Linked DNA regions of Mus musculus. The protein of the gene in region 1 interacts with the protein of each later gene in a pairwise test. Links are inferred from orthologs where the notes say so. Each region holds a gene or a part of one and is shown on either strand. Other genes may lie near its edges. The genes, in order: Arfip2, Mal2 and Arf3.

Region 1 (4,446 bases):
CCATCCCTCCCTAACACCATCTCCCTCTCCCTCGAGTTCTCTTCCTGAGGTTTGACCAATGCTGCCTTCCTGACTGACTCTGAAGACAAGAAAGCACTTCTTTGTTTAAAGTCTTTATTGCTAATTTCACAAAGGCAGGAAGTACTAAGAGAGTAAATTGGGGAAATGGTCAACATTCCTGAATTCTTAGAGGCTTGTCTTTGTTCTGTTGTCACTGACCTCCTAGGAAGCAGTGGCTAAAGCCTAAGGGGGTAGAGTTTTCTTCCTGCTTTTGTTGTTTGGTTTTACCTTCTTCCCCTAGGTTCACAGCAATTCTTTTTGACAGCTGAAAATAAAAACTAGTTATGAGTCAATGTATATTCAGGTCCTTGAGTTAGTCCCAAGGACAGCCACTGAGAGCTCTCCTTTTGGAACCAATTTCCCATTGCTATTACTAACCTTAAAGCTCTACCCATAATCCCTGCTTTTGCTGGGGTGCTGGGAATGCTGAATTTGTCCTTCTACACATAAGAAGGCACTACATCAACCTCCAGGGCTAAAGGCAGTACACATGCACTAGATGACAGAATAAAGGCTGGTACCCATAGACAAATAACCAGACTGTAAAAACGGGTTTATTGGCTCCAAGAAAAGGAGCAACAGCACCCAGCTTTCAAGCTCAATCTCTCTGTACACATTTAGATAAGCCCAAGGTCCATAGAGGAGCCCATCCAAGCACCTTCTCTCCAGGGGCCAGGGACGGCTAGCTGCCTGATGGCGAGTCTCTGGTCTGTTCTGCAGGAATACCTGGCGCGGCCGAGGCAGCCTCGTAGTCCGCGATGCGGCGCTGGACCAGGGCGGGCATGAGGTGCACGTAAGCGGCCATGAGGCGGTGGTTAGAATGGATGAGTTTCCCAGCACAGCTGTGCAGGCAGGCCTCCTGGAAGGAAGACGGAGGGAAGTAGAAACTAAAAGGGGTCCAGTCAAGCCCGCCTCCTTCCTTCCCGGTCCCCAGCCTAGGAGTGAGGTCAAGAAAGAGGGAGAAGATGGGGGGCTGGGGGAGGGTGTCACGTCACGTTGTCAACTCTGGGACCCCCACACTGTCTCCACCTCCTCAGCGTCCAGAGCTCGGTGGTGCAGGCTGGGCACACAGCGCTGGAAACACAGTTCTGTCATCCGATTGTAGACCAACAGGAAGTCTCGCAACTGAGAGAAAAGGGAACCACGACTTCACCACCGCTAAGGCTCCCCGGGATGCACAGCCCGTCTCCCCCTCGGGTTCTTGCGTGTACCCCTGGAAACAAACTGCACGTCTAACCCAGAGAGCAACTGCGCTCTCACTCACGTTTCTCAGTTGCTGCTGCTGCTGCTCCATCACGCCAAGGGCGCACAGCCCTAGTCACTTCCGCCCGTGGCGGGGTGGCAGGGTGGCGCGGGGTTGGGGGGGCGGAGGGGGGAGGTTAGAGCTCTCAGAGTCGCCCCGGAAGTAAACTCTCACTACTCCCCAAGAGCTTGAAGGCGTAGCTCCAGGCTCGTCCTGCCCACAACTGCAAACGTCACTTCCGCCCTTTTTCTCTGCGACGTGGCCGGCTTCTTCTGCCCAGAGAGCATGTCACTTCCGCCAAATCTCTGACCTGCTGCTAGGATCGCGACGAGAACTGGAACCCGAGGTCCCCGCGCGGTCCGGGCCTCGCGCCCTGAGGGGAAGAGCGGCCCGGCCCAGGTGAGAAGGACATACTTGGACGAAGGGAAGTTGAACGCACGAACCTGTACTGAGGGCAAAATGCCCTGAGCCCTTGGCAAGGATGAGGACACACCTGATGCCCAGGTGTATGGGGGTGGGGGGAGCCCCTCACATCTGGGAGGCTTCAGCTGACTTTGGAAGGGATTGCCCGTGTCCTGGGAAAGAGAGCCTTTCACCTGACACCAGGAACATTCACTAACTGCTTCAACCAAGGCCTGCTGGGGAGGGCCTAAGGGAGTCAGGTGCATGAGATGGAGAAAGGAAGAGCCCAGACCGGCTGAAGGAAGAGGGGAAGGAACACCAAAGAATGTGAAAGACCAGGATTGTAGAGCATGCCTGAGTGGCAAGTGAGAGTCTGAGCCTAGGAAAGGGTTCTGGTAAACATTGCCTCTGCAGGGTTAAGTTCCCAGAGAGCATAGACCTCCCCTCTGGTCCTCACTGCTATAATCCCATTGCCTCAGTATCTCACTCATAATAGACACTCACTAGATAGTTGTTGAATGACTGAATGCATGAATGGTTACTGAAGGCGAGGTAGGGGGGTTATGAGAAGACACCCGAGGCTTTGGTATGCATGCATCTGTAGAGATAATGTCCTCAGAAGAGAAGAAACACACAAACTCAAGGAAAGCCGTGGTGGCTGATCCCAGGACACCCAAGCCCAAAGACAACCCCTGAAACCTCTGAGAACACAGGGAAGGCCTCCTTGTTCTGGAGTGCTGGCCAGTTTCCAGAATTGTCTGTGTTGGGCTTTACAGCGTGCTGGGGTGGAGACCTTGACTCCAGTCCCTTCCCTAGCCATGACGGACGGGATTCTAGGGAAGGCAGCCACAATGGAGATTCCCATCCACGGAAATGGCGAAGCTGGGCAGCTTCCTGAAGACGATGGGCTGGAGCAGGTGCTTCTGTTTGATTCTTCTCATTGTTTTGTTATACATTCCTGACTTATAAACCTTTAATTTCCCCTGTCCCGGTAGCCTTCAGTTAACTAAACTCCTTCATACTTTTCAAATCTTCTTTATGGTTCTGTACAGACTTTACTATGCACTGTCTCCGTCCCCAAAATGTTTCATCCATCCCTGTGTTCCTGAGGTGCCCCCCTCTTCTCTGACCTATAGGACCTCCAGCAGGTGATGGTGTCAGGACCCAACCTCAATGAAACTAGCATTGTGTCTGGTGGCTATGGGGGCTCTGGTGACGGACTCATCCCCACAGGTATGAATGATAGAGATAGGCTTGAGGGGTGGGGTGTTGAGACAGTTTGCAGGCACATAGACACATACAGGAAAGCTTGACTCCTGGACTGGAGAGCTTGCGAACTGCTGGTGTGAAGTTCATAGACAGTCCAGTCCCAGGCCAGCTCCCAGAGTTGCCCATCTGCCTCCCACTGGCCAGTCAGTCTCGAAGATAATCTCACTCGTCTTCTCCTCCTTGCCGCCACCATCTGAGCCAAGTTAAGACCTTAAGGTTATGAGCACTCAGGAGCTTAAGGCCAGTTTGGAGCTTTGTGAGGCTTCTCAGAGTTTCATTTTAGACTCTTTTACTGGCTAGAATTCTACCTAGAAATATAAGCCAACTTCTCTGTTTTTCTGTGTTCACCATCTTTGATCCTGCCAATCGCACATGTCATGTTTGCTTCTATTCCCGCTTATCTCGTACACCAACAACACTCCTACCCTACTCCAAGAATGCCAGATACATACATTGAATTGATTTGGTTGTCAGGACATGAGTCCTTGTTCCCCCTAGTGACCAGAAGAATGCAGTTGTCTGTCTAGATAGTCCTTCTTCAGAGAGGTCATTTCGTGTGTTTGGGGGGGTGGGGGGGAGGAGTGAGCCACAGAAGTGTATGGTTTTATCTAAGAGAAACTGGTGTCAGAGAACTTGGTCCTTTAGGGTCTGGCCGACATCCATCTCACAGCACGTCACCCTCTGGCCCTGGTGACGAGGTGGCCCGGGGCATCGCTGGAGAAAAGTTTGACATCGTCAAGAAATGGGGCATCAACACATATAAGGTAAGATTCAAGTGCTTCTCCTCAGAAATTCTCCGTGGGGACCTTTTCCCTTTCCCCAGGTCTTACTGTGTAGTCTTTGCTATGACTAAGAGAACGGGGGTGCTGGAGTAGTTCATTGTTGGGGTGGAGTTTAGATTTCTGACCTCACCCCCCCCCCCTTCCAATCAGTGCACAAAGCAGCTGTTATCAGAGAGATTTGGCCGAGGCTCCCGGACTGTGGATCTGGAGCTAGAGCTGCAGATTGAGTTGCTGCGTGAGACGAAGCGCAAGTATGAAAGTGTCCTGCAGCTGGGCCGGGCACTGACAGCCCACCTCTACAGCCTGTTGCAGACCCAGCATGCACTAGGTGATGCCTTTGCTGACCTCAGCCAGAAGTCCCCAGAGCTTCAGGTGCCTCAGCCAAAACAAAGAGGGTGGGGGTACTGGGCCCTGGTCCTTCCAGGCAGGCTTTCCTCAGCCTCCCTCCCTCCCTCCCTCCTGCAGCCCCCAGGGAGAACCCCTCTGGGGTGCGCCCAGTCCTGCCCCCAGCATCACTCACCTATGGAGGCAGCCTAAGGGTTTGTACAGAGGCCCAGAAGTTGGAAGGGTTGTGGGAGAGGGCTCACCAGTACCTCATAAGTAACCTGTCTCCACATCATCAAGAATGCCTTTGGTGCTTGGCCTAATCAGATTCCCTCCCTGCCTGCTGCACTAGCTCTCCGTGTTCTG
Region 2 (3,647 bases), on another chromosome or scaffold:
TTGACAATTTCATATGTATATATAATATATTTATATAGTTTGATTATACTCAATTCCTTTTTTTTTTTACTTTTTAAAATTTATTTACATTCCAAATGTTATCCTCTTTCCAGGTTTCTCCTCTGCAAACCCTGTACCCCATCCCTCCTCCTTACCCTGCTTCTATGAGGGTGCTCCCCCACCCACCTACCCACTCCTGTCTCACTGCCCTAGCATTCCTCTACACTGGGGCATCAAGTCTTCACAGGACCAAGGGCCTCCCATCCTAATGATGCCAGATAAGGCCCCTTCAGCTCCTTCAGTCCTTCCTCTATCTCCTCCATCAGCCTGTGCTCCGTCTGATGGTTGGTTGTGAGCATCCTTGAAATCTTTATCTAAACCTAAACAGCACTTAGTAAACTCGATGGAGGCAGGAGCTGGAATGCCCGCCATGTGCTGAGCCCCTGCCATAGCAACAATAGTGTCACATGTTGTGTACAGCTATTGCATGGTGGATAATGTTAGTGGGAAAATACGACCTCTGAGATGGCCCAAACATTGAAACTGAGCACTAAAGTTGTGCAAATATCCCCAAATTTTAAAAGTCTACACATTTGAGGCACTCTTAGCTCTAAGCACCTTCTCAGCCCATACCTAGTTCCTTTCCTTAACTGACAAATGTACGAGAACATAGGGTAATCTTCCCAGATGAACTATGGGAAAAGTATTAGAGGTTTCCTTTTTAAAAAATTTTTTGTTTGTTTGTTTTGTTTTGTGTCACTGTGTTAGCCCAACGTGGCCTTGGACTTAAGACCTTCCAGCCTCATTCTACAGAGTGCTGGATTATGGATTTGCACCATCAGGCCCAGATTTCCAACAGTCACTTTGATATAGTGGTGAAATTTAAACAAGGAGAACATTTATAGTTTATTGCTTGATCATTACAGGTAATACTACAAACGGGAGGGAAATGCCAAGTTGGGAAGACCAATAAACTACTAAAAATGCTTTAGTACTGAAAAGAAGATTCAATATAAGCAGTGGGGAGGAATACGGTACGGATATCTGTCTAACAAGACCAGGAATGACATCATAAAGTATTTAAGCATTTAAATGGTACATGTATCAACCAATTAGAGAGAATACAGGATCCCGGAAACATTTCCAGATTGAACACTCAGTTGCTAGGCAATCAGGAGATCCAGGACTCCCATGGGAATGGTCTGGTGGTGTGTGATACAGCATTTGAGAAGAGCCAGCAAGATGGGTAATGATTATTAAGGCTCCTGAAGTACCAGCAGGAGCAGAGCGGAACAAAGACATGGAGCAATCTTTAAGTCGGATGCCTGAAGGACCTGCTTTCCCTTAGTAACTTTGGAGATCAGCTGATCCACTTGCAGATCTTCTCATGAGAAAGTCAGGCACTTACAAAGAGGAGATGAACTATTTCTCTGTACCCTAATTTGGGACTGTGGACTTTATCATATGATCAAATAACAAATATTGAAATTTGGGAAAATGTAGGAAAACACTACCTTAGCAACAGCATAGAACTAGAACCCTCAAAGTTCTGAATTACAAGCCTCTTGTCTTTAAGGAATTATAATTATTGTCATTTGGCGAGTATGGCCCAGTCACAAAGCTAAGCATTATGAATGCATTAATTCTATTATTCTTTAAGGGCATCTGGCAAGGCAGTTGCTATTACTTCCATTTTACAGAGGAGAGAATTGGAATACAGAGCAGTTAACTATTTTGTCCTAGGCAAATTAAGCTTCATGTGAAAGCCTGTTGAAAGCTGTGACCACTACACTAGACTGCTTTCTTAGCTTTATCCTAACCCATGCCACCCTTAGCCTGTGCGTTGTCTTAGAGGACAGCCCTATTTGCTGGATGCCTCTGCTAAAAACATTTGGATTATAGTTCTCCGTACGTTTTGTAAGTAAAACACTTTTCCTTAGCATTTGCCCCTAAAGCTGCTGAGCTGGGGGAATGCTATTATGCTCAAAAACAACATATAAAGATCAAATGATGGTCTGACTTAAGTTCCAAAACACCCCAGTGTGATTCAGAAGCTAAAGAGAGTTCTCTATGTGCATCACTAAAGCCCTGTCACTGTGGATTGGATTGGAATCATCCCCACCTGTCTTTCAAAATGCATCCCAGAGAATGAAGGACCATGCTATGAAAGAGAATCTCCACGCAACACATGGGGAAATACAATGTCAGTCATTTGCAGGGAATGGTAGCTTATCTTAAACATTGAGTTGAACATTGTGCTATCAATTTATCTTTCAGGACTCAGCAATTAATTTTAGAGAAGAACTAATGATAAAATATTCTCTTTTGAAAACAATATGGAGCTACACGTTTTCTGCAAAGCTTGGACAATCTGGCCACTTCTGTGTCTGTGAATTTCCTGGGTGTGAATTTAATCAATTATGCATTGAAAAATATTCAGAAAAATATGTGTCTATAGTAAATATGTACAGACATTCTTCTCCTGTCTTCATTATCCAAACAACACAGTATAAAAACTACATGCAGGGGCTGGAGAGATGGCTCACTGATCAATAGCACTTATACTCTGGCAGAGGACATTGGTTCCATTCCTAGCAACTACATATAGTTCTCAATCATCTTCTGGCCTCCACAAACACCAGGAATGCACAGAGATACACACAAGTAAAACATTCACACATAAAATAAAATGAATGAATCTTTTTTAAAGCTGTGTGCATAGCATTTACGATGTGCATTCTAAGTAACCTACAGATGATATAAAACTTGTAATACAATGCATGTAGATACTATGTAAATTATACCTGCATGCTTAATTATATATTTAAATATATACAAACATATGTATGACCTGAGAATCTATAGATGTATAGAATCTATAGTATCCCAGGTAAGAGGGTATGTTATGCAATCAGCGCCCTGCTTATTAAGGTATGACTAAACCCATTTAAATATACAAAGAAGAAATTAATGGAAAATTTCAAGGCATATGTAACTGAGATCTCAAAGGCATCTGTTCTAATGTTCAGTTATAATTCAATTCATCTGTTGTATGATATGAAATAGTTTTCAAGTAAATCATAAAAATAGCAGTGTGATTTTTCAGTTCTATCAATGTGGGAATTTTACAAACCAAGGTCCTGCTGTCCACCATACCCACACATGGGCACCATAGTGGCCTCCTCATGCTGATCTTGTCCACCATACCCACACATGGGCACCATAGTGGCCTCCTCATGCTGATCTTGTCCACCATACCCACACATGGGCACCATAGTGGCCTCTTCATGCTGATCTGTCTTCTCCATGCAGCAACAGAGAGAGTAGAGTCGTGGGCACTTCTGAACAGAGTGGGATATTTGTACATTTCTTACATTTTCTTGCATTAGGCTTATTATAAAAATTTCTTACCAGGAAGTTCCAGTTGGCATCAATCTGAGTCACCATACCAGAGAGGAACAAGCCCAGGAAGAGAAGCGAAAAGAAGAAAGCTGTCACCGACACAAACATGACCCATCCTTGGAGCAGAGGTAGAGGAACATTGGAGGAAGCAACCAAAATCCAGACAAGTCCTCCAAGCACCTGAAAGAAAAAAAAAGAACACAGTCGTCGCTTTGCATTCGAGAACTCAAAAAAAAGAACACAGT
Region 3 (3,647 bases), on another chromosome or scaffold:
TTTCCATTAATGCCCCCCCCCCCACATTTATTATGGGTATGTGGTGACAATGACAGTAGGCAGTGAACATGGACATGTAGTACATGTGGCTTTGGTGCAATGTTCATTCTTGATGAATCCCCCACCTCCATCCCACATTAACCCAGACTGTCATCAAACTTGATAGATAGTTGTGGGTAGCCTTGAACTTCTGATCTCCTTGCCTCCAGGTCTTAAGTGTTGGGATCACAGATGTATGTGTCACCATGCCCAGCTTTACAGCACATTGATCAACTGTAGTCCATAGATAGCAATCCTACTGGGCAGAAGAAATGACACAGGGATATCTCTGGTTGAAGCTCATGTCAGTATGCAGGATGGATCATCCATAGTGATTTAAGTCATGAGTGTGAAGACAGCACTTGGGAGGCAGGCGGATTTCTGAGTTCGAGGCCAGCCTGATCTACAAAGTGAGTTCCGGGACAGCCAGGACTACCAAAGAAACCCTGTCTCGGAAAACAAACAAACAAACAAACAAACAAGATAGGCCCAAGGAAACAAAGGATACAGACCTTGCAGAGGGGGTTACATTTTAATTAGGGAGATGACTATGTACCCATTAATAAAAAAGCAAGTCACAGGGTAATGTGTGCTTCATGAGAAGTTCACATCTTTCAGGGACTTTGCAGGACAGATGTGCAGCCAGCTTCTCTTTCTCTCCAGGCCTTCCTCCTTCCACCTCACAGTGCTGCACTAGAGCCCGTGTCTCTGTTGTCAGGTTACGGTCAACTTTGAATTGTAACTTCAGCATGACAGTTGAGCAGAGAAGTGGAGGGTTATCTAGAGGTTCCGAGCCAGGGCTATTGGCTGCTGGTCTTGTTTTTCAGCAGCTGGTCTCACTATGATCATATAATCAGTGATAGCGTGGTCATGGAGGACAGACAGGGAGAAGTGTGTGATATAAGTAAAATCCCTGCCAGAGCCTAAAAACAGCTCTTCAGCTCTCTCTGCTCCATCCCAGGAAACATGGAGAAAGTTTTCCTTGTGGAGGTCATGGTACCAGAAACCCAACTACTATAGGTTGCTGAGGTTGGGATGACCTGATTTTAGTAGCTGGACAAGTGTCCCTGTCACTCCTCCTCCCCCCCCCCCTTCCTGCCCTCACCTTAGGAATGTGTAAGGGCCTTAGATCTGACTGGATGAGTTGAGGCTGGAAGGACGGCGGGGCTGGCAGGTGGGCAGCATGGCTGAGATTGAGTCCTGAAGTCCAACAAGCCCTGTTGCTGGGGTGTGAGCTGGGAGGCCTGGGAGAACCACACCTGGCTCCTTAGTCTGGGGATGTCTGAAGATGAAACGCTTCTGCACTCAGTTCTTTTTTTATTTTTAGACAGCCTAGTACTTCAGTCCCTAGGGGCTCTTGATCTGAGTTCTATGCACTAGTCTGGAATTTGCTACAGAGGAATAGGGGAAACAAAACAAGAAAAACAAAACAAGCCTGAAGAAGTTCTCCAAAAAAGTGACTAAACTCCCAGCAGACTTCCCTGATTCACCTTGTAACTAGGATTCTTCGCTGCCCACCTCTCACATTCCTGGGTTTAGATGCGCTCTGTCCTGACCTGTTCCTTCGCCTTCTGGGTTTGGGGTGTGTGTGTCGCTGGTTTCCAGACTCTGGAGAGTGCCAGCAGCTGGCATATGATGATCACTGAACAAGCTGCCCGCTGACACATGCCTTCTGAGGCACAGAGAGCTGCCTGGCTTGAGTGCTCTGAACCCCCATTGCATGACTGTTTCAGAGGTGCGTTTTTAGACCAAGTATGCAGTGCACACCTGTAATCCTAGCACTTAGGTTGAGGTAAGAAGAGCATAAGTTCAAGTTTATCCTTGGTTACAGAGTGAATTTGGGACCAGCCTGGGCAATAGGGACCATAGCTCAAAACATTTTTGTTGGATGGAGAGATGACTCCGGGCAAGAGTGCTTGTTCTTGTAGAGACCCGAGTCAGTTCTCAGCAGTCACATAGCAGTCACAGTGGCTCACAGCGGCTCACAGCTGTCCCACATCCTCACAGTGCCTCACAGCTGTCCCACATCCTCACAGTGGCTCACAGCTGTCCCACATCCTCACAGTGCTTCACAGCTGTCCCACATCCTCACAGTGGCTCACAGCTGTCCCACATCTTCACAGTGCTTCACAGCTGTCCCACATCCTCACAGTGGCTCACAGCTGTCCCACATCCTCACAGTGGCTCACAGCTGTCCCACATCCTCACAGTGGCTCACAGTGGCTCACAGCTGTCCCACATCCTCACAGTGCCTCACAGCTGTCCTACATCCTCACAGTGCCTCACAGCTGTCCTACATCCTCACAGTGCCTCACAGCTGTCCTACATCCTCACAGTGCCTCACAGCTGTCCTCACCCGTTTAGCAGGGGTGTCGGGTGTTGCTGTGAACCACTGGTGAAGGAACAGTCAGTCTGCTTGAGCTGTAGGTGAGGTCGATAGAGATCTTCAGAGTTAATTGGACTGTTGAACTGCACCAAGCATTCGTAGGTTTCAGGAACACAGTGCTGCAGGGCCTCTTGGTTTTACTAAAGGGAGCTTGAAGCAACCAAAGGTTTTGAACTGAAGAACCAAAGGGCCTGGTTTGGCCTTTAAAGTCACTTTGCCTGTTTTGTGGAGAACAGGCTAAAAGGCTAGGGAAGACAGAGGGACAAACTGATTACCTGCTTGCAGGTGACCTTATGGGACAGCTCTCCCTGGGTGAGCCATGGAAAGCTCCCCACCATCCCAGCTCTGGATGTAGCTGTATCGACAGGGGAAGTAACAGCAGCTCAGGGTGTAAATGAGCAGTGTCTTCTAGAAGTCCTGCTTGCAGCTTTTCTTCCTCAGTTAGACTGGTGTGGAAGGAGCACTCTCTGACTAGAGCAGCCTGTAAACCTCAGGAGCCTTGTCAGCAGTTACAGGGCCACTCCTCATTCCGCTCTGCTCTCCGCCGCCTCAGAAAGCTCAGGGCAAGGTTGGCGGAGGAGAGGCAAGTGGGTTTGCAGTGCTCTGGGGTGTAACAGAGAACGTTGGAATTGAAATGACTTTAGAAATCTCCGACTAGAACCTTCTTGATTTTTAGGTGCAGCTCTGCAAAGATGAAGTAAACAGCCTTCCTAGTCATTGCAGTAGATTGCTGGCATAGCAAGGGCCCTACATGCCTCCTGCTTGCCTCTGCTCTCAGACATTCAGTCTGGGTGTGAGTGGGCCTTGGTATTCATAGTCCCTTCTGGTGTTTACCCAGTAGTGAGTGAACTCCAGCCTTGACTTTGGCAAATTCCACGAATATGAAGTCTTTACAAACAGTTGATGGTAAGGAGTTTGTGTTTCCTTTGTCTAGGGTCAAGTCCTCCATACCAAGGACCAGGCTAAAACCAGATTACACTGCCCCTCCCTGGGCCCTATTGACTTAAAGCAGCCACTGTAATCATGGGCAATATCTTTGGGAACCTTCTGAAGAGCCTAATCGGCAAGAAGGAGATGCGCATCCTGATGGTGGGCCTGGATGCTGCCGGGAAGACCACCATCCTCTACAAGCTGAAACTCGGGGAGATTGTCACCACCATCCCGACCATTGGTAAGGGCAAGCTGAGGGGAGGCAGGCAAGGCCTTCCCTTCCCAGGCAGGT

What was found.
Region 2: the proteins of Arfip2 (region 1) and Mal2 interact in binary tests that used the Homo sapiens proteins (3 or more experiments, as listed by UniProt). The two-hybrid records come from large-scale screens. The link is inferred for Mus musculus from reciprocal best matches to the Homo sapiens genes ARFIP2 and MAL2.
Region 3: the proteins of Arfip2 (region 1) and Arf3 interact in a two-hybrid assay, tested with the Homo sapiens proteins (2 studies listed by BioGRID and IntAct). The link is inferred for Mus musculus from reciprocal best matches to the Homo sapiens genes ARFIP2 and ARF3.

Annotation. Positions count from the first base shown.
Region 1 is NC_000073.6:105,637,501-105,641,946, reverse strand, and holds the start of Arfip2 (arfaptin-2), read left to right. Parts: upstream 1-1,530; 5' UTR 1,531-1,702; intron 1,703-2,481; 5' UTR 2,482-2,523; coding exon 2,524-2,622; intron 2,623-2,841; coding exon 2,842-2,938; intron 2,939-3,619; coding exon 3,620-3,738; intron 3,739-3,906; coding exon 3,907-4,128; exon of another isoform or gene 4,129-4,221; coding exon of another isoform or gene 4,222-4,293; exon of another isoform or gene 4,294-4,385; intron 4,386-4,446. Other genes in the region: Timm10b (mitochondrial import inner membrane translocase subunit Tim10 B), read right to left, coding at 787-919, 1,090-1,185, 1,325-1,354. UniProt on the Homo sapiens protein: Plays a role in constitutive metalloproteinase (MMP) secretion from the trans Golgi network. May have important functions during vesicle biogenesis at certain cargo subdomains, which could be predominantly utilized by secreted MMPs, such as MMP7 and MMP2.
Region 2 is NC_000081.6:54,588,249-54,591,895, reverse strand, and holds part of Mal2 (protein MAL2), read right to left. Parts: intron 3,583-3,647; coding exon 3,412-3,582; intron 1-3,411. UniProt on the Homo sapiens protein: Member of the machinery of polarized transport. Required for the indirect transcytotic route at the step of the egress of the transcytosing cargo from perinuclear endosomes in order for it to travel to the apical surface via a raft-dependent pathway.
Region 3 is NC_000081.6:98,742,542-98,746,188, reverse strand, and holds part of Arf3 (ADP-ribosylation factor 3), read left to right. Parts: intron 1-3,359; 5' UTR 3,360-3,448; coding exon 3,449-3,596; intron 3,597-3,647.